Linked DNA regions of Struthio camelus. The protein of the gene in region 2 interacts with the protein of the main gene of each other region in a biochemical or structural test. Links are inferred from orthologs where the notes say so. Each region holds a gene or a part of one and is shown on either strand. Other genes may lie near its edges.

Region 1 (9,937 bases), on a different chromosome or scaffold from region 2:
CACTACAGATAACAAGTGAACGGGCCTAGCTACAGTATTACATTCTTCATGGAGTTGTGATCACTAATTTCCAATGTTTTTCTTTTTCCAGCGAAGCCACCTCAGAGCTCTCTCCAGTGCTACTTGTCCCATGAGGAACGTGATAGTAAAATTACGTTTATACCAATCTCTAGGATTCCAAAGACAGGAGAGTAACCAATGCACAAAACAAGAACAGGAGAAAGGCACATGATTATATTAAAATATCCTTTGGCATTGACAAATGACAATTCAGTGATGACATGAATTTTCCATTCTCTGTGGCAACACTTTTCCTGCCTAGTTAGAAGTAAATAACCCATGAAAACGTCTATTTTTCTCCTATTATGTAGCTGGCTAGACAGAATCTGTGGATTAGTCATGTAATGTGAAATACCCACATCTGCAAACAGATTACCTGCAGAATATATGGCTACAACCATTCAGAGCTTAACTGTAAAAATTTAAAAAGGAATGAGTAATATTATGATCAATTATATTTGAAATTAGGTAAGCTAAAATAACCATAACCAAATCACATGTTTCAGAAGTAAAGGTGGTTACGAAGCTGACTGATGCACAATGCTGTGCTATGGGTGAGATTTGCTTGTGCATGTATGAAGACGCGTGTGTTGGAAATGACGTGGCTGGTTACCCATAAAGTGGAAAAAATAAAAATCACACTTCAAAGACTATAACCAGCTATGGCAAAACATTAGTTCCTAATTCAGTGTGTTCTAAAGATGATGCCCTTAGTATTTCCAAAGTTAGAGTCTTTGTATCTTTACATAGTTTTAATGAAGCATACATGACTTTCGGAACCAAATCAAGATGTAGGTAAGATAATCTGTATCAGTCGTTTACCTCTGGAGGGCTTGTTTCAGTCATGCCCTTCTAGCTTCCAATAAGCAGCCCTCCTCCATTTTGTAAAATGTTGCACAAGAAGCAGTAGAATATGCTTACGGTAGAACTAGCAGGGAATGTGAGACAGGGATTCAAGTCTGCAAGCCGATTGCAATAGGAAACCTTTCACGCATAGATCTAATATAAGAGGCTTATATCTTGGGTTTATAAGGACAGGACCGGGAATCATGCTGACAAGCAATATGAGCTACCCACCAAAAAATCATGTTAAATCAAAATATCATGCTCACATTGCAACTGTTCTTTTCCCATTTCTTGTCCTATTTTTTATTTCCTTCTTGAATTTGTATTCTGTTTTTTCTAACAGTGTTTCCAGTCTAAATACTCTAAAACATGTATTCAAGCAGTCTATGCACAGTCATTCTCTCAATTTAACTAAATTTTAGAAATTTCAACACTTCCGCAGCCACAGTTTTCAGGCCAGCTGGCAACAATAGAGGAGAACATAGAGACAAAGGCATAAACGGATTTTTTTTTTTTTTTTAAATATGACTCCTCAAAAGTCAAAACGTCTACAATAAACTCCGCTGTTTTCAAGGCTGTGCAGTTACACTTTGTAACTGCAATGATGCAGCTGGCACTACCTGATTTTAAAACAAGGGCAGGCATGTTTAGGAATAGAGCGCTGCCTGATTTTGTCTCACTAAAGTCTCTGGAAAGAGTGACGTAACATCTACCTTTCCATAAAATCAAACATACATAGTGGAAGAACTCAAATGACTATGCCTAAGTTCATGTCAAATGCTAATAGCGTTTTTTCAAATTTTTCTGCAAATTCTAAAATGATAGCTTTAGATGCTATTTTAACAACTATGGCAAAAAATGTTTGATTTTTCTATTTGATGTTATGCCCTTCACTTAGACAGTAATATAATATTCAGCAAGAAAATCATCTACATACCTGTTGTAATGCATATGCTTTCTAAAATTTTTACTTAAGAAGTCCTTGTAGAAGTCAGCCATTTCTTCTGCATTCAGCGTTGCTTTTTGACCTGAAAATAAGTTTTAGCATAACGTTGTCAAGATAGCTCTTGTGATTAAAACACTGGGTGCAGACTCAGGAAAGCTAGTTCGGGTTGCTTGTTCCTACAGGCTTCCTGTGTATCCCTAGACAAGTTAATATGCTTCTATCTCCCTATTTTTTTAAAAATCTATCTAGGGAGCAGAGCAGATTAAAAATGCTGATCCTCTTGAAACTTTGATTTGATGGTACAATTCTTTCTGCTGCCTTTGGTAAATTTCAAGTAACTCATATGAAAGATTATCTGCTCTGGGCTGTCAGATTTATTAACAATAGGGTGGACAAGTCTCTTGTGGAAAAGTAAGTTCAAGACAGGACCTGAAACATATCCCTGAATAAAATATATATATACACACACGCACACACACAAATATAAAAAAAAAATCTGAATATGCCACTCATATAATGCAGAATATAAGAGAAGATGGATTCTCTCCACAGATCATGAAAGGAAAATGTGTGGCTACAGCACAGAAGAAGCATCCAGAGGACCAGATGATATTCTGACCAGATATTTCCTATATAAACTTTCTGGCGCTTTTGATATTTCCAAAACGAGCATCAAATCCCTATCCCCTGGGACATTCAGATATGATGAGGGAGACAGAATCGAGAGATTCAGCTTGTTAGCGTTTCAAAATGAATTTAAAGCTCCTGAGATTTATCATCAGAAGGTAAATTATTGATCACGACTATCTGTCAATATTTACAAATTTAAAATATTACAATGGATTAACATTCCATGAGGTAAACTTATCGTAAGACCATTTGAAAGCTGCCTGCTTAACAGCTACAGTTAATTTGTTTCTTCATTCTGGTATCAGCAGAACTAACCGAGTCTTCGTGTATATACGAGAAATAACCATTGTTCCAACTGCACATACGTATAGGTTATTACCAAGAGAGATACACACACACGTGTCTTGTGATTTCAGTGAAAATTTCCAAACAAGTAGACTGTGGATAGCAACAATTTTGCTCCAGCATCACCCATCAGCAGGGCCATGGCGTAGAACAAAACCAATTACTCAAACATTTGCACTGAATGCAATTTTATTTTTAAGGAATGTACAAATTTACTATCTTCTCTTTTACTTCTAGGATATAAAAACCTAAAAGAACAAATCAGCAATATAAAATAAACTTTTTCTTAATAACATGTAATTTAATTACAATGCTTTCTCCACTACAAAGTGATCACTGGGACACAAATAAAAGTGCAACACAACGGTCTGTGAAATACTGAACATCAGAGCAGGTTTTCTATCAAACCAAAACAGATCTTTACTCTATGAACAAAACGTTCAACCTCATGTTACAACGGCCAACTCGCTGTATTACGAAGGCCTCTTGTTTTCAATTTCATGTAATGAGTTAGAGAGGGAAACATTTTACAGTAACTGTCCTCAGGCAAAGAAGGGCAAAGAGCAGCTGCTGTCTCCTCGGAAGCTCATTCTCCCTCAAGGAAAAATAACATGTTCATTGTACATATTATCGACCCGAGGCTGAACAGTGTGAATCTATCCACTCAACCGTAACATGCGCTTGGGGCAAACAGTATATGTTTGGCTCAGCTAGTTCACTGGGGCGATGAGCTGTGAAAGGAAAAAAAAAAACCTTCCCCCTTAAGGGTACAGAATGATGAAATTACTTTGCTAGGATTTCAGCACATTCCTTCCAGTGGAAGGGTAGGGGGGAAGTTGTGCAGATCTGACCTGCACAGCTTTCAAGAGCTCCCCTCCTTCTCTGTTAGACTCCTGAAAGGAGCATAAACAGGCAAAAATAAAAATTAAACAGATTTCAGAGCACATCCTAAACTACAAAAAAAGATGTCACTGACCTGTTTCATCTCTCATTTTCAGACCCTTGGCTTTCAGTCTTGAATAAATAAATTCTTCTTTTTCCTAAAATATGTTTTTCCACATTAGAACTTAACGTACTCAGTCCTTGAAGTTAACCATTGATTTTAATCACATGCCAGCTTTGCGCTTAATACCCTCCAAAATATACACAGTACTCATTGCACTTGGAGATGTCAAAAAAACATTTTCCTGAATCCAGTGACTTAATTACACTGATAATTGTGTTGCTTCGATGTTAACTGTGTGCATCAATTAATTCATGCAAGTGTCCTGCTGAAACATACGCAACTTATTTGTGGAAGTAAAGTTATAGCTGAGCTTAAGTATTGTTTTGCAGGATCCAAATCTTGCAAAGTTTTACAAAAGACAAATTATGAAGACTTGCTGTGTTACTTATTTTAGAATTTTAGTATACAGGAAAATGTGCAACCTTAGAAAACTGAAATTACTTAGATGGAAAAAGAATAACTATTAGTATTTCAAATTTTCAAATTTAAAAAGCAGTTCTAGCTAATTAAGGGGGGAAAAAAAAAAAAAAAAAAGCATGCTCCACTTACTCCAAGACCTTTGCAAGTCTGGGGACAATACAATGATCGAAGACCATCACAAGTGATGGTGAATTACTGGACTGTTGCTAGTCTTCCAACAGAATTTGGTGTGTCCTTACCCATGGTACAATGTTTAAAAGAAAGACCAAGACTGAAAACGTCCCCCCTTTTCGCCTTGTTAGGGGTACATTGCCAGTGCAAGAGCGCACATCCCTCATTTACCCTCAGTGGTCTTACCTATACTTTTCTCACTTACGGTAGAGCAAAAAAAGCTGCAGAATCATTTTCAAAAGCAGCTCTAGTCAAATATTACAGGTCTTGCATGTAAAGGTGGTTACAACTTTACCTTTTCAGTGCAAAATAGAAAAAAGAAAAAGCAAATATCCTTTTATACACTAAACAGCAGTAAAATACATAAGCTCTTCAGTTTTGTAGGTCATTTTAAACAAACTAACATTGAGAATAAAATTAATGACAAAAAGGAATTTCCCCAAAGACAGTGAACTTATTAAAAGAAGCTGTAGTAGCAATTAAAAGCAAGAGATAAGTAACTGAAGGCAGAATTTAATGCTAGTTTGTGAAGGGAAAAATCATAATTTTGTGAACTTGGCTATTTGGGATAGCCATATAACGCAGGAATCATCGCTCAAGGTCATCCTACTGCGCAGTCATCAAATCCTTTTAACGGAGAACAGGAACGCCTTTGCTTGCAGAGGGCCAGCACCCCAAAGGCTGCGGGGGCTGGGCAGCGGCGCGCGGCGCAGCCCTCCCCTGCCCGCTCACCTGCTGGAAGGACACGTTCTGGCGTGCCCAGAACCGCTGGTTCCAAGCCTGGGTTTCCTCTCTGAGCTCCCTGAGCCGGCGCTCCAGCAGGGATTCATTTTGGGGAACATAGAAGATTACTGGTCGGAGATTTGAGTACTTGTCGGGCGGGCCAATCCAATCGTTACAAGAATGTGCTGGAGGGCAGAAACCCGATCCCTTAAAAATACATACAGAAGGATTATCACCACTTTAGCGCAATTTCTGCGGAAGAGCCTGATGTGAAACAAATCCCGCAACTCCACACGACTGGATATAACCTTAAAACACGCAGCAAGGTCAGAAGTCATGCACATTCATTCATGTTGACTGAAAACTGTCATACGCTCATGACTCACTCACGTTTGGAGATGAATTACAGAAAAGATACCTTTAACTCTTCCGACAGATAGGAATCATGATAAATAACAGTAATTAAGATAAGCCCCAAATCCTGCTCTTTTGCTTGCTTACCTTACCGGCGCTCCCCCGGCAGGAGACCCTGCCCGCGGCCTCAGCTCTGTCCCCGCAGCCGGGAGGAGCCGGGCCCGGCCGGGTCGAGCCGAGTGGGCCGCCGCCCGCGCCCTGTCCCGTCCCGTCCCGCCGGCTGCCCCCGCGGCACCGGGCCCGGCCTCGAGCTGCCCCCCGCACGGCTTTACCCCGCTCTCCGGCCGCTCAGCCGCCGTCCCGCCGCCGCCGCCGCCGCCGGCCGAGGAGAGGCAGCGGCACCCAACGTCCCCCGTCAGGCGCCGCGCGCCCGCCGCCGCCCTAACGGTCGCGGCCATCGCCGCTTTACGGCGCTCAGGGAACCGCCGGCGCTGAGCGCCCCGCGGCCGGGGGCTGGCGGAGCCGAGCGGGGCGGAGCGGGGCGGGGCGGAGCGGAGCGGAGCGTGCGGCCCTCGGCTGCCGCTCGGCCCGTGGCGCAGCGCCGGGACAGCGGGCCGGCGGGCGAGACAGGTGAGGCGGCCGGGCCGGGCCTGCGGGCAGGGAGGCGGCGGCGGCGGCGGAGCGAGCGGGCGGGCGGGCGGGTCTGCTGCGCTGTGCGCCGCGGGCCCGGCGGCGGGTGGGAGACCCCCTTCGGGTGCCGCCGCCGCCGCCGCGGGCCGGGGGCTGGCGCAGCAGCGGCCCATTGTGATCTGCGGGCGCCGCCTGGCCGCCCTCCGCCCCGGCTCGGGGCGCCGCGGCCGGGGGCGGCGCGGCCTGAGGCGGCGGCGCCGGGGGGAGGCCCTGCGGGGCCTGTGCCGGCTGGAGGCGGCGGGCGGCGGCCGGGGGCGCGGCGCGGCGAGAGCGGGTCTGCGGCGCGCTGCCGCCCTGCCCTGTCGCCCAGAGCCGGCCGCGAGGGCAAGGCTGAACTTCTCCGGTAAACGCCCCGAGCTTGTTGTGGCATCCCTCGGCTTCCCCCCGCCGCGGCCGGAGGTGTGAAAGAACAGAGGAACGGCTGCAGAGTACCGGACACGGTTTTGTTTTTGTTTTTAACTCCTCTTGATAGAGGGATTTAAGTAGCTGCCCTGCTGAGGTGTCTCAGGCCGCCACGGAACGAAATGCCCGCATAGCGTTTTATTAATCGTACGTCTTTTCCTGACTTTCTTTGTAGTTCATCTGAAACTGGAAGAAAGAGGAGAATGGATATGGGCAACCAACATCCATCCATAAAACGGTTGCATGAAATACAGAAAGAAGTCAAAGAGATCGAACAACAAGTTGTCATCTTCAGTGGCTTGTCTACTGACAAAGATTATAAGAGACTAGAAAGGACTCTTACTAAACAGCTTTTTGAAATAGATTCCGTAGATACTGAAGGAAAAGGAGATATTCAGCAAGCCAGAAAGCGTGCGGCTCAGGAAACGGAGAGGCTACTCAAGGAACTGGAACAAAATGCAAACCATCCCCACAGACTGGAAATAGAGGCTATATTCAAGGAAGCACAGTTGCTTGTGGAACGTGAGATTACACCTTTTTACAAAGGAGGCAACTGTATAAGTGATGAATTTGAAGAAGGTATTCAGGACGTTATATTGAGGCTTACTCAGGTGAAAACTGGAGGGAAAATTTCTTTACGCAAAGCAAGATATCGCACTCTGACGAAAGTATGCGCTGTTCAGGAGATTATAGAAAGCTGTGTAAAGCAACAGCTGTCCCTACCACTCTCTAATGATGCACATCCTTCTGTCTCCAAAATTAACTCTGTAATGTGTGATGTGAACAAAGCTAGAGGAACTCTTATTGCACTTCTAATGGGAGTTAATAGCAATGATACCTGCAGGCATTTATCCTGCGTGCTCACAGGCTTGATTGCTGATTTGGATGCTTTAGATGTCTGTGGTCGCACAGAAATAAGGAACTACAGAAAGGAAGTAGTCGAAGAGATCAATAAACTGCAGAAATATCTGGACTTGGAGGAGGAAGCAAATTCTACTCATGCTTATGACCTGGCACAAAATCAGTCCATTCTAAAAATAGAAGAAATCCGCAAGAAAATGAAGGAAGTTAATTCTTTACTTTTAAAAACAGAGAATGCTTCTGACTTGTATTTGGGATCCAAGGCAGAACTGCAAGGATTAATTGCCCAATTAGATGAAGTCAGTCCAGGGAAAAACCCCTGTATTAGAGAAGCCAGGAGAAGAGCAGTAATAGAAGTGCAGACTCTGATAACGTATATTGATTTAAAGGAAGCGCTTGAAAAAAGGCAAATGTATCCTGAGCAAACTGCTGCTGAACATCAATCTCATAAAGCAGTTTGGGGCGTTCTTGGAAACTTGTCTCAAATTCAGCAGGAAGTGATTTCATTTGATGGAAACAGAATGGATAAAAATTACATGAGACTGGAAGAGCTTCTTACAAAGCAACTTCTAGCACTCGATGCTGTTGATCCACAAGGTGATGAGCGGGTTAAGGCTGCCAGAAAGCAAGCAGTGAAGCTTGCACAGAACATTCTTTACTATCTGGATATGAAAACAGATGAATGGGAGTACTGAAACAGCCATAGTCTAACAGAAAATACCTTTTTTTTTCCCCTTTGGTGCTTTCTGCAGACTGATAGTTCAATTGGCAGCACGTGATTAAAAGTGATGTGTTGTATGTTTGCTTAAATCATGGCAATTGCATAAGAAGTTGACTTGGCTATATGTCTGCTATCCCACGCGCTCACCCACTTGCCATGGCAACTGTCAGTACACCATCAGCAATTCTGGTCATTGCTGTCAAGCAAAGAAATGTGATCCTCTGAAGGAATGGCTTAATACCTGGTCGAATGGGCTTTTTTCCCTGTTTTTGTTGTGATAATCTTGTGCAATGTTTAGAGAGTGCAGCTTTTTCAAAGGTGCAGAAACTGCCTTATGGTATAGGACTGGCAGAACTACTTCAAGAAGACTGGGCATAAAAATTAGCGCTTAAGCATGAGGATCTATCCAGCAAGTTCATAGCAGTCTGGATATACTCTTAATGTGCTGTTATGATGGAAAGTATTAAATGCAAAAAACTGCTGGCTTTTGAGTCATACTTGATTTATTCCATCCAGCATACCTTTATGGGTGTTTAGATTTCTTACCTAGCAGAACTATAATGCCAACTGCAAATTAGCATTTACATAGGCAAAGCCAATTAGGTCTGTTTTTGTAATATCTGACCCGTTCTGTTTGCAAATGCAGGGTTTTTTCCTTCTGTTGGTGGAAACTTCCCTCAAATTCTTGCTTTGAGGTAAATGAGACTTGGAGAGGAAAATCTGTGCACATACACTGATTAGATAAATGGGATTTGTAGGGTTTCATACTGCTCTCCATAAACCCCTGAAAAATGCACTGAACTTTCTTTAGTGGCTACTTAGGGTCTTTTTAAACTCTGCTGTTAGATTTGCTTTTGACTAGTCTTTTTCACATTTGGTAAAAATAGAAGTCACGCTGAAATGAATGAGCATTTCAGAATTATTTTTGTAAAATTAGGTAGCTATAGAGGTGTCCCTAATGATTTAAATGTGTATTATGTATTTCATATCGGTCAGGTGTGGCTTCAAGCATGACTTGGAAAAGACCTGTGGCATATATCTCTCTTTGCAACTCATCGCTTAATGGTTTTAGTAACTTAGTAAATAAGCTTGCTTATACTGCTCTAGGAGCCTCCCTTATTATTTGTAGCTGCTAGCATCAGTGACATTTCTACAGTAGCATGTGTTTTGGCATTTTTGAGAGCATGGCATTAAAATTAAATGGATCAATATTTAATTATGGATATTTTGCACTTAGTTCTTTCATGTTGAATTTGTAAATTATTGTTCTGTAGATGATTATTTGCACCACTGTAAGGAGTATAAACAATTTTGGATGTTAAATTAAAACTATTTTTAGATATATTTTTAACTCCTTAGAGAAGACGATACTTCTGTGAGAGACAAGTGCCTTTATGACACCTTTGACTTGTACCATCGTATGTAGACATAGGAACTGCTGACTGGCAGCTTGATGGAGCTGTAATCTTTACCCACTAGATTTATCCTATATCTCATTCCACTATAATATATGTTAAGTTAACATAATACAATAGGTGACAGTTGTTCTCTGGAGACTCGATAGTGAGTCACCAATTTGGGAAATACAGATTCTGTTTGAAAATGGATGTGTTGATATGGAGATTAGGGAGTGTGGGCAGGTCTTTCTGTGCCTATTACTACAAGAAGGGGAGAATGATATTTACTCCATAACATGCTTTCAGATGTTGATGCAAGGCTGTGTAACTTCAGAGCATGGAAATATTTTGTTTGTGACTGTACA
Region 2 (10,121 bases):
CTGAATAGTTCAACAGCATTCTCCTTGCAAGTAAAATTACTTGTTACATCTTACAGTTTTTCAAAGACTAGCACTCAGATCATTCAAAGACCTTTTACATATTCAAATTTCACTGCAACTCAGTAGAAGCTGGCTACCTAGTTCTCTTAAAAACGTCTGCTCCCCATCTGACCAGGAAAAAAAAGAAATTGTTCCATTTACCATTTTGTGGATCCATGTTGCACTCTCTGCAAACAGCAGCTTCCTCCGTTCCCACACACCAGTACATTCTGGGTTGTAGTCGTGAAGGTTCAACAAGCAAACTTTTCTGCAGCACTTCAAATTGAATAGTGTTGTCAAAGCTGAACGACCTCTGTCAAGTAAGTGCAGGAACAGGGCCGCTGCTAGTAAACACCATCCTGAAGAAACACCATGTCCCTGTGTAAAAACACACAACAAAACAAATCAGTCCTCCTAGAAATTGCAAGAGGCTTATTCCTCTGCACTTACAAACACAGTTGTCTAGATATCACTTTGGAGAAACGCACCCCTCATCTTATGCAAATATAAACACAATTAGTTATACAATAGCTTTGTTAAGAGCATAATGTGAATTAACAGAGGAGTCTAACAACGTCTCCACTATAGAAAAGATAATGTTCCCAATTTTTCTCAGCCAAAGCTGCTCAGTATTTGTTCTGAGGGGGTGGGCAGGGGTCACAGCTGCAGTTTCAGATTCTCCACAAGCTAGTGTAAATTCAGAGCACTGAAATGATGCAATGCAGCTGGAAAAATCCTAACTGCAACCTCAAAATCTTTCCCGTTCACAAAGACGACTGTGACTCTTGTAAGACTCTACTGTGAGAAACTGAAAAATACTGATGTGGTTACTGATGTGGAGACAATCCTCTACAGAAAGAAAAAAGAGCTAAGAGGAACACACAAGCTTCTTTCCCCTTTGCCCAGTCATTTCAGAGAACTCTAATACCATGAAAACAGCAAGCTGCTTCAAACGTGGGCATGGAGGCAAGTCAGACCCTTAAGTACTCTTAAAGGTTGCCTTCTCTTAAATTGCCTTGCATAAGAAGCAGCAGAAGACCGAAGAGCTCAATCCGCCGCGGCATTTCCAACCTCTTCCCTCTTTAGAGCTGCACACCTGTGATTTTCTTTCCCTTAACGCATCTTCCACAGAGGTTAAGGCTAGGGGTGGATTTCCGGTGTGTGCCCAACTGGCATCACTGTTCCTTCATCTTCTCCTTTCAGTTTCAGTCTGTAAAGGCCTCTCCAACATGACACGATGCCCCTCACCTCTGGTTCTAATTAGACTTTCTCGTGTCTGGTGTTGTGATGCTGCAGTGTTGAGCAGAGGCTCTAATTCAGCCAAGCGCACGTACCCAGGTTGGCCAGCAAGACCAAGTATACCGTGAACCCTGCCTGAACAGAGCTGCTCTCTTGGGCTGGGATCAAAGAGCAAGGAGAATATAAAAATACACCCATCCATCACCACTCTCCAGGCAGCCTCCTGCTCTCCCCCCATTAAATAGGGTTTTAACAACGAGCTGACAACGTTACCAAATCACCCAACCCTCTATCAGTAGTTTCTAGGCGAACATCTGCGCTTTGGGTGCAGGTATGGTAAAATTCAGTTTCTGATGACCCTTGCGTTGTGGTGGCCAGCAGCGAGAACCAAACCGCCCCACGCACGCCCCTGCCTCCTGCATGTGGAGGAAGCCACCGGCTGCAGTTTGTGGTTCTTTCGTGCTTTTCAAAGGCAGGAAAAAAAGGTGAGTGCTTTTCAAAGGTGGGTGCTGCAAATAACACAGGTTGAGCTGCCCGGATCAGACTCCACACAAGCCTTTCGCACGCACCCCACAGCCAAACGCCTCCTCCTCGGTGGGCCGGATGGCCGCAGCTCCCGCTGCACGCCAGCAACAGAGCATCCCTCTCTCTGTCCCCGTCACGGAAAATGGCGGCAGTGGCTCATCTCTCAGGACAGCCCTGGCGTGATGGACAGCGTGGAGGTGCCACGGAGGTCTCACGGGAGGCTGTAACCCTTTCGAGCACAGATAAGACTGCTACTGTGCTGTTTGTGCCGCCCAAAAGCTGCCCCGGCCGTTTATCCTGACAACGGAGGGGACATGATGTTTCCAGCGCTGGCAGCTGCCCTCTCTGCACCCTCACTGTAAATGCGCTGAGCAAGTACCGTAAAAAAGAATATGTCCCCATGCAAAGGCCAACAGAATAGCTCTTTTGGCAGATGCTGGGTTTTGCGTGGCCTTCCCTCGCGGTACAGCTAGGGCACGCTGTGCACACCTGCAGCGATCGTGGGAGAAATACCGGACTGGGGTCAGTATGCACCACGGAGGTTTGAAAACACTCCCAATTTCAGGATTTCTACCCAGCTTCATACGTAGTGAAAGCAAAAAACTTTCAGGAAAGATAATGGGAGTGACGTTGGTAACGGGTACAAACTGAACCACAGGCAGCTCCGTCTGAACATGAGGAAAAACTTCTTCACTGTGAGGGTGACTGAGCACTGGAACAGGTTGCCCAGAGACAACCTGTCCCGAGTTGGACTAGATGATCTCCAGAGGTCCCTTCCAACCCCAACCGTGCTGTGAATCTGTGATAACCAGTCCCCTTTCACTGTGACTAGCACACCAAACGCCTGAACCATAAAGGTATTATTGCCACAAAGCACCCCTGCAAGGAGTACTGCCTGTGCATCTCTGTATTTCACTACCTTTGTTTAGATAATAAAAACCATCCCTGAAGTGCTTTTACCCAAAGTTACCAACAATATGAGCTCAGCTGTAACACCTGCAAAAAACATTTAAATTTGATTTAGGGACGGAGAACTCCTGAAAAAACAGCGTACTACTTGGGATCCTACAGGCTGGGCAGCCCATTTGGAAGGAGCGGGACGGAGAAGGAATACATCCCAACGCTGATTTACATCCCATTTCACACAGCCCCAATTTCTCTCCTGAGGCGCTATTATTGCTGGCTTTTAGCTAACGTCTAGAGAAGTTAATGTCTGCTTTTCTAAGGAAGATATTTTCCACGGGTAGCATCGTTCATTGTGGAGCACTTCCCAGAGCTCAGTTAAGGCTCCTGTTACTCCTTGGCTCGTCACCCCCAGCTGCAGATCGTCCGGGTGAGGAGGGCTGGCAGCCCAGGCCCCGGTGGGACGCGTGCACACCCTGGGCGGCTCTGCAGGTAAGGTGGTCCCGAATGCAAACAGAAAAAGGACAGCTGGACCCAAGCTGCTCTCCGAGCGTCCCCGCCGCGCGCTCCCCAGCATATCCGACCGTGTCTGTACCATCTCGAGATCCTCCTCTCAGCTCCTCCAGCCAAGCCAGGCTTGCTGCACGCGCATCGAAGCGCGGTCAGGCACCCAGACACGCCACAGCTTACCCGAGGTCACCTCCCAATCGGGGGAAACCCTCCAGAAACAAGTCCTTTACTCAAACCACCTACTCTTTCTCGAGAGGTCCACTTAGCCTTAGGAGCTGCGTTAAGACGCGCGGGGCAACGCCGCGCGCCGGAGCAGGCGGCCGAGGCCGTCGCCGACGGCCCGCGGGCTCGTTCCTGCGCCGTCGAGAGAGAGGCGCGGGGCCGAAGCCGCGCCTGGAGGCTGAAGCGCTCCGTTTGACGGCGGCGTAACCCACCGCCTCGCGCGGGGACCTCCCTGCTAGGGGCAGCTAGGCGAACCTCCGAGCCGCGCCGCGGCCTTCGGCAGCTCCGCGCGGAAGAAGAACCGCCGCTCCCTCCTCCACAGGGCGGACGGCGAAGGAGGCATACAGCATCCTTGCCCTCGGGAGGGCGGGAAACGGCTGCAGAAAGCTCCCAAACCGGACCCGGCCTGCCAAGCTCCCTTCCCGCTCGTCCTCCGGCGTGAGGCCCCCGCGCCCGTCTGGCGACGAGGCGAAAGAAAACCCCAACGCGGGGTTTTCTCGCTGCCGAGCACCTGGCGAAGGGCGTGAGGGAGCCGGGGCGGCCTCGAGCTGCGGAGGAGGAGGAGGAGGGAGGGCGCGGAGCCGGGTGGCTCGGCGGGCAGCGGCGGCAGGAAGGCGGCAACGGGCTGCGCGTTACACGCCGCCGCCGCCACCGCCGCTCGGCGCCCGGACATAAAAGGAAGTTTTTCCTTACGGCTCCTCGCAAGTATTTCCTTTCCCCCCATCGCCGGCTCCCAAGCACGCCCGCTTCCCCCCAAGTTCCGTCTAAACTCTTTGCTTTTTTTCCTTTTTTTTAAACCCTTTTGGTGCCCCCCCCCCCGCCCTTCGCAGCCCGCCCGGCGCACCCCGCGCCCCCTCAGCGCAGCCCCGGCGCGGGGCAGGTGCCGCCCGCGCTACCTCCTGCCTGCGGGGTCCCTGCGCCGCCGTCACCGCCTCCTCCTCCTCCTCCTCCTCCGGCGCCGGCCGCCCGCCTCGTCGCTCTGCGGCGCGGGAGGCGGAGGGAGGAAGGAAAAGGGAGCGGGGGCAGAAGCGCGGCGGCGCCTCCTCCGCCACCGGGCCCGCCGGCGCGGGGTCAGGGCCCGCCCGCGGGCCCCACCACGGCCGCCGCCGCCGTCCCAGAGGCCTCCGCGCGGGCCCTGGCCGGGCTGCGGGGCTCCATCTTGTGCCGGCCCCGGCGGCGGCGGCGCGGTCGGCCGCTGCCTGCGGCTCCTCGGCGCGACGGGACGCGCTCACCCCGTCAGCGAGCTGCCCTCTTCGGGCGGCTGCTACGCGGGCTCACGCCATTGGGGTTCGGTTTTGTTGTGTTTTGTGTTGTTCCCCTCCTCCCCCCCCCCCGGAAAGGTCTGTCTGGAGTTGTCGGGGTCGGAAGCAGGACCGCGTCTCTCAGCCCCAGCAGGTCCCTCGGGTGGCGTCGCCGTCACCGCAGCCCCCCGTGTCGCGTCCCGCATGTTTCTCGGAGCTCTTGGCGCTGCCTTCGGCCCTCGCGCGGATCCCTTCTCTGGGTCTGCTTCTCCGCTGAGGCCCGGCCCTAGCGCCAGCGGAGTTAATCGCAGATTGTGTCTTTGCAAGCTGCTCCTCTCCCGGCTGGGGGAAGAAGCCTACCGCTTTTTGGAAAAACAAAGCAAGGTTGCCCCCTCTCTTCTGCAGGCGTTACGCTCTCGCTGCGCTCCCCATCGCATAGCCCTTCATCTCCTGCTACCAGGAAACTCTCCCAAGCCTGATGGGGCTTTTTCTTCCCCACCCACTGGACCAGCTACGAGAACACCGTTTTTGCGTGCCCTTTATTTTACTGTTCGTGACGACTCCTTACATTACCTACACAGCTTTTTTCTTCCTTGGCCCCACAGAAGAAAGGGATCTCCGATGATCGCTTGAGGATGGGAGTAGCCATATCCATCCTCTGACTAGTCTTGAGGTTTGTCCTAGGGTGTTCTCGTGCTGTGATTGTGGAGATAGACAGAGAGGATGGGTCCTCGTCGATGCTTTCACTTGGGTTCGAGTGCCCGTGAACCCCGCTTCTAGCTGCAGCCCTAGCAGTGTTACCCATCTGGCGCCCTTCTGTCCGGGCTGCTGTCTTTTACGCCTCACAGCCTGGCTCTTATCCAGACCTTTCTTGCAGCCTTTTCCACCCAATTGTTTGAAAAACCACTAACATCACTTAGTTTTGCCTTTATTTTGATAAACACTGTCATTTCCCCGAACGAGAATTTCTCCAGACAGTCAGGCTAAAAAAACTTGGTTTTTTTTTTTCCTTTCTAAATTTCATCCCAGGCTCCCTGGCTTATGCCTCCATCGATTATGTCACTCACAATCATTTCTTTGCATCTCCAGCCTTCACCTTTTCCATGTTTAGTGTCACAGCTTCTGAGCGATGCCGTTTGCAAGTGCAGGAAAAACTCAAGGGGGTTGGCTTGGCCTAGGTAGGGAGCTGACAGCGGTTGGTATTTTTCTCACACGCGTGTTACCAGATGCGAGCAGTGAATGCCGGACGAAAGGCAACGATATCAGTGCGTTCTCGCTTGCCGTCCGCGTGGCAGATGAGGGAAATTGGATAGGAACGGGACAGGGTGGAGCAGAGTCATGAGAGTGAGGGATGCGTCTCACAGGGTTTAGCAAGCCGGACCGAGGCAAGGAGCCTCATCTGGCAGGGTGGTCCCCAGCCCCTTGCCTTTCAGGCTCACCCCAAGAATGGGAGAAGGATCCCTCCTACTTCAAACTGGCAGAAGCTGTGCTTGCCCCTGCCAGCTGCAACCCTGCTCCCTCACCTCCCCCACCCCGTTTACTGGAAATGGCACAACTTAACAAAAGCAACTGCTTAGATAATAAGCTAACAAACACACGCTCTAGCTTTTGTTTGTAGAGCACTGACCACACTTCAGCCCTTTACTTCCCTTGCCTTTTTTAAAATAGGCTATTCTTCACAAAATGCAGAAGTGAATTCAAGTTCAGATTCCTTCTCAGTCCCCCAGTGAGATACTGAATCCCCACATCCACAGATGCACAAACACACTCTGCATTCAGTCCTGCGATGTGCGGAAGGTATCTTGAAGTTACATCGCCCCTTGTGAGCCCAGGGCACGTTCCTGTTTGGGGAATCCCGCTGGCTCACTGACTCGAGGGGAACAGACAGAGCGCTGTTCTGAGAAGAGCCCCCTGCAACTAGAGCAATACAGGGCCATTTTGTTTCAGAAGCATGAAACCTTAACCCTTTCCAGTGTTTGCTTTTAGTGTCGCAATGGGCCAAATTCAGAGATGAAATGAAAAACAGACAGGAGGACTGAGTCGAGTGGAAGGGGGGGGCGCTGATGGAAGGGGTCTTAACACTTGCGTTAGAGGGGCCAGAATTTTCTTAAGGCACTAATCAGCGTACATAAAAAAGGATTACAGTTACTTCTCTGTTAAAACGAGTAAAGTCAGTAGAAGTGTGTCCCTTTCAGTCATCCTTCCTAGGCAATACCAGAATACAGTATTTAGAAACTATACCACAAAGTTAAACATTTATTAGGAACAAGAGAACTATTACAAAAAGATACCCATATTCTAAATATATACATGAGGTTTAAACATAGCATTTCCATGTACCTTTAACTATAAAAATACATTAGATTAACTGTATCCTAATTTATAAATATAGTTCTTTTCTTTAAAAAGTAGTATTTCATATGAAAGCCTTACTGTGCAATGAAAGAATATATACCCTCTAAGGGGTTACTTTAAAGTTAGTGTCTAGTGTTATATAACTTAGATAATTCAGTGTGTAGAGTCAAACCCTGATTTATACAATAAGAGATACATTGACTTTTTTTTTAAACTTGATAGGGGAAAAAAAGAGGTGAAATATACATTATACATATAAAGGCAGACTACTAGGATTTTAAGAGTACCAGATGATTTCCATTTCAACCACTGTTTATCAAAAATGAATATAGAAGCTACATCAAAATAACCAGCCTTTTACTATTTGCCTCGCCTCCCTGTTGTCTGACTGCAGCCCTAGAAAACCATCAACTTGGCAAAAGTAAAATGTTTGTCTGAGAAGATGTTTGCACTCTAAGTGTATTACAAAAATAGAAGCTTATTTACAGTTTTCCCATTTGGCCTTTCATGGGGTAGGCAGGACATTTTCTTCACCAGATGGGGAGACTTACCTGTGGAAGCCCTGTCTCACATATCCACCGGAAGACAGGCACTCAGCTGTACACAATTGTTGGAGGTATGTCATTTGAGAAATTAAGCAGTGTTGAAGTGCAGTTTCAATGTTCACTAACTAATAAGGAAGTTTAGGCCCATGCAAACATTCTCCTTACTCATCACCACCCACCTTCCTTCCCCCTCCAAAAAAGGTCCACACATGCAACAGCACTTGTACTGACTGGGTACATCTCTGATCAGAGGAAATTACTGGTTAAATCCCTGCTTGCTTCAGGGACTACAGACTAGACCTGCATTTCTGCTTCAAGCCCTGACACCCGGAAAACTCCCAGCAATGATCTTTACCAGTGCTCCATAGCGATCTGTAGATAATTCACTAAGGAACATGCATCAGTTTGCTCTTAGAGGACGAACCCAAAGGGATCAGCCAAAGTTCCCACTCAGCTGACCCCACTACCTACCACGTACTTACAGCCCGCATCGACATGGAGCTTCCTGTAGGTTTGCCAGTGGTTCTTCAGTACAGTATCAGGGGTGAGGGAAGTAGCAAACCCAGGAACTGAAGACAGCATATGGCTTTTCCTTAAGCCCACAGTAAGTAACATCTGCAAAGAAGTTAACTGCAGGATATACTAAGGTATGAACTTAGTGTGACAGCCGCTCCATGGATGCTATTTGTGTGCATGCTTATACAACTGTAAACGAGGGAATGCAAGGTAGTTTATTCCTCAGTGAAGGACCAGTTACTCCGTTTGCCACAAGATGATAGGACTCACAGGGACAATTGCTGCAGAGCTGCTGACACATTTAAGTCTGGCCACATCTTATTCCACGGTAACTGGTTTGTACACCCACCTCTTTAGCATTCAGTATATGCTTAGGAGCACCTGCCTTTTCATACTGTGCTTCCAGAAATCTACTTTAAGCTACACTCGTAAGGGAGAAAGAAGCAGTGAGGATAACTTGTAAGTTTTACTCACATAATTAGCTCTGGCTCAAAAATGAGATGTCCACACAGTCTGAAAGTGACAGAGCAAGACACAGCAAGACAGCTTTTTGCAGCACTTTTGCTCCCTGCCCTCAGATCAGTAGGACGGGCTTGGGTCTGTGTGCCGTGGATGTTTTCCATGGGGTATCTACCATGCTACATGCTTAGCATTCAACTCTGTGTCATCACGGTAAGTACAGTGCAAAATCCTCTTGCAGAAAGTGCTATAGCGAAGCTTTGAGATACCGTTGTGACTCATTTGGAGCCAGAGGGGCTAGCAAGTCAGTAACTTGCATGTGCAGCACGTGTATGCATGTACAGCAAAACATCTAGTTCATAGGACACTTTAAAGTCTAGCTACATTGGGTGAAATACTGGCCCCAAAGGATTCATCTAAGAAACTTCCATAAACCTCATTCAGGGCTAGAATATCACCAATATGGGGGATGCAAGTATCTTTAGAGAGACCAAGATAGCTCTTTCAAACAGAATTGCTTTACAGTTCCTTTCGTGAAAGCTTACACTCCCATCTAAAACTCTGATTGCAGTCTTCACACAAACTCTTATCAACTTCAGTTATATTAGCCCTACGCTCAAGTCCATTTATGCCAAGTGAAACCCATACGCCTCTGAAGGTGTTTAACAATCCATGCTAACGGTACCAGAAGTCACTCTAACTTGCCATTGACGTCCAAGTCCTTCAGGGGCACGTTTTGAAAAGCAGATGTCCTGAAAACACTGACCAGTATTTTAATCACAGGTAGCAGACTATGCAGCCAGGGACTTGCGTAGTACAAGCGTGTGCTGTGCTGCCAGTAGGGTCAGTTAAATCAGTTTTTGAAGAGCTAGTTGACAGAATGGCGTCCAGTAGATTCAGTGTTTCTAGAGGAATAAAGTAAGGTGTTTCTCCAAACAAGTGCTGTTTCGATTTTCCTTCCTACCCCTCCCCTCCCCCTTGCTCTGAACACGTCCCCCATGTGTCACATTCAGAGTGTCAGCATTTTTAGGCCTTCTGCTTTCATGGACTCTTCTGGGAGAGTTTAATGGTGACTGTTTTCACTTCAGTATATTCTGCCAAAGCATATTCACCACTGCAAAAGAAGGGGGAGAAGGGAAAGGGACAAACAGTTGTAGCTTGTTAATATATACTTCCTCAAGATAAGAGGTTTCTACACAAGTGCAACTTAGTCGCAGACCAACAGCTGCTGTAAACAATATCAGGCCATTTAAAACCAGATCTGAACTAATGTACGCCAGCTGTCAGTCTGGCCCACCATGTCTAATTATCACTGTGTACATGCACATACATACATACACTAATACACCCTGCCTGCCATAAAAGAAACAATGAATGCTTCAGGTTGCAGTAAACCACAAGTTGACACTTCAGGGCTCCCAGCCTAATGAAAGTGAGTACTGTTGTGAGATCCTATAGAAGAAGCATCCATATGAATATAGTTATCGGTGATTAAACAGTAATTATAGTTACACTCCTTCATAGGAAGTAAGCTTCTGTCTACAAGATACCACATATCGGGAGGGCA

What was found.
Region 1: the proteins of LRRK1 (region 2) and BAG5 form a complex in vitro, tested with the Homo sapiens proteins (2 studies listed by BioGRID and IntAct, with this or other methods). The link is inferred for Struthio camelus from reciprocal best matches to the Homo sapiens genes LRRK1 and BAG5.

The regions. Positions count from the first base shown.
Region 1 is NC_090946.1:72,465,294-72,475,230, reverse strand, and holds the start of BAG5 (BAG family molecular chaperone regulator 5), read left to right. Parts: upstream 1-6,038; 5' UTR 6,039-6,131; intron 6,132-6,768; 5' UTR 6,769-6,796; coding exon 6,797-8,149; 3' UTR 8,150-9,937. Other genes in the region: COA8 (cytochrome c oxidase assembly factor 8), read right to left, coding at 64-169, 1,844-1,934, 3,804-3,867, 5,157-5,354, 5,834-5,959. UniProt on the Homo sapiens protein: Co-chaperone for HSP/HSP70 proteins. It functions as a nucleotide-exchange factor promoting the release of ADP from HSP70, thereby activating HSP70-mediated protein refolding.
Region 2 is NC_090953.1:4,464,516-4,474,636, forward strand, and holds the start of LRRK1 (leucine-rich repeat serine/threonine-protein kinase 1), read right to left. Parts: upstream 4,525-10,121; 5' UTR 4,335-4,524; intron 418-4,334; 5' UTR 269-417; coding exon 202-268; intron 1-201. Other genes in the region: ALDH1A3 (retinaldehyde dehydrogenase 3), read right to left, coding at 9,596-9,668.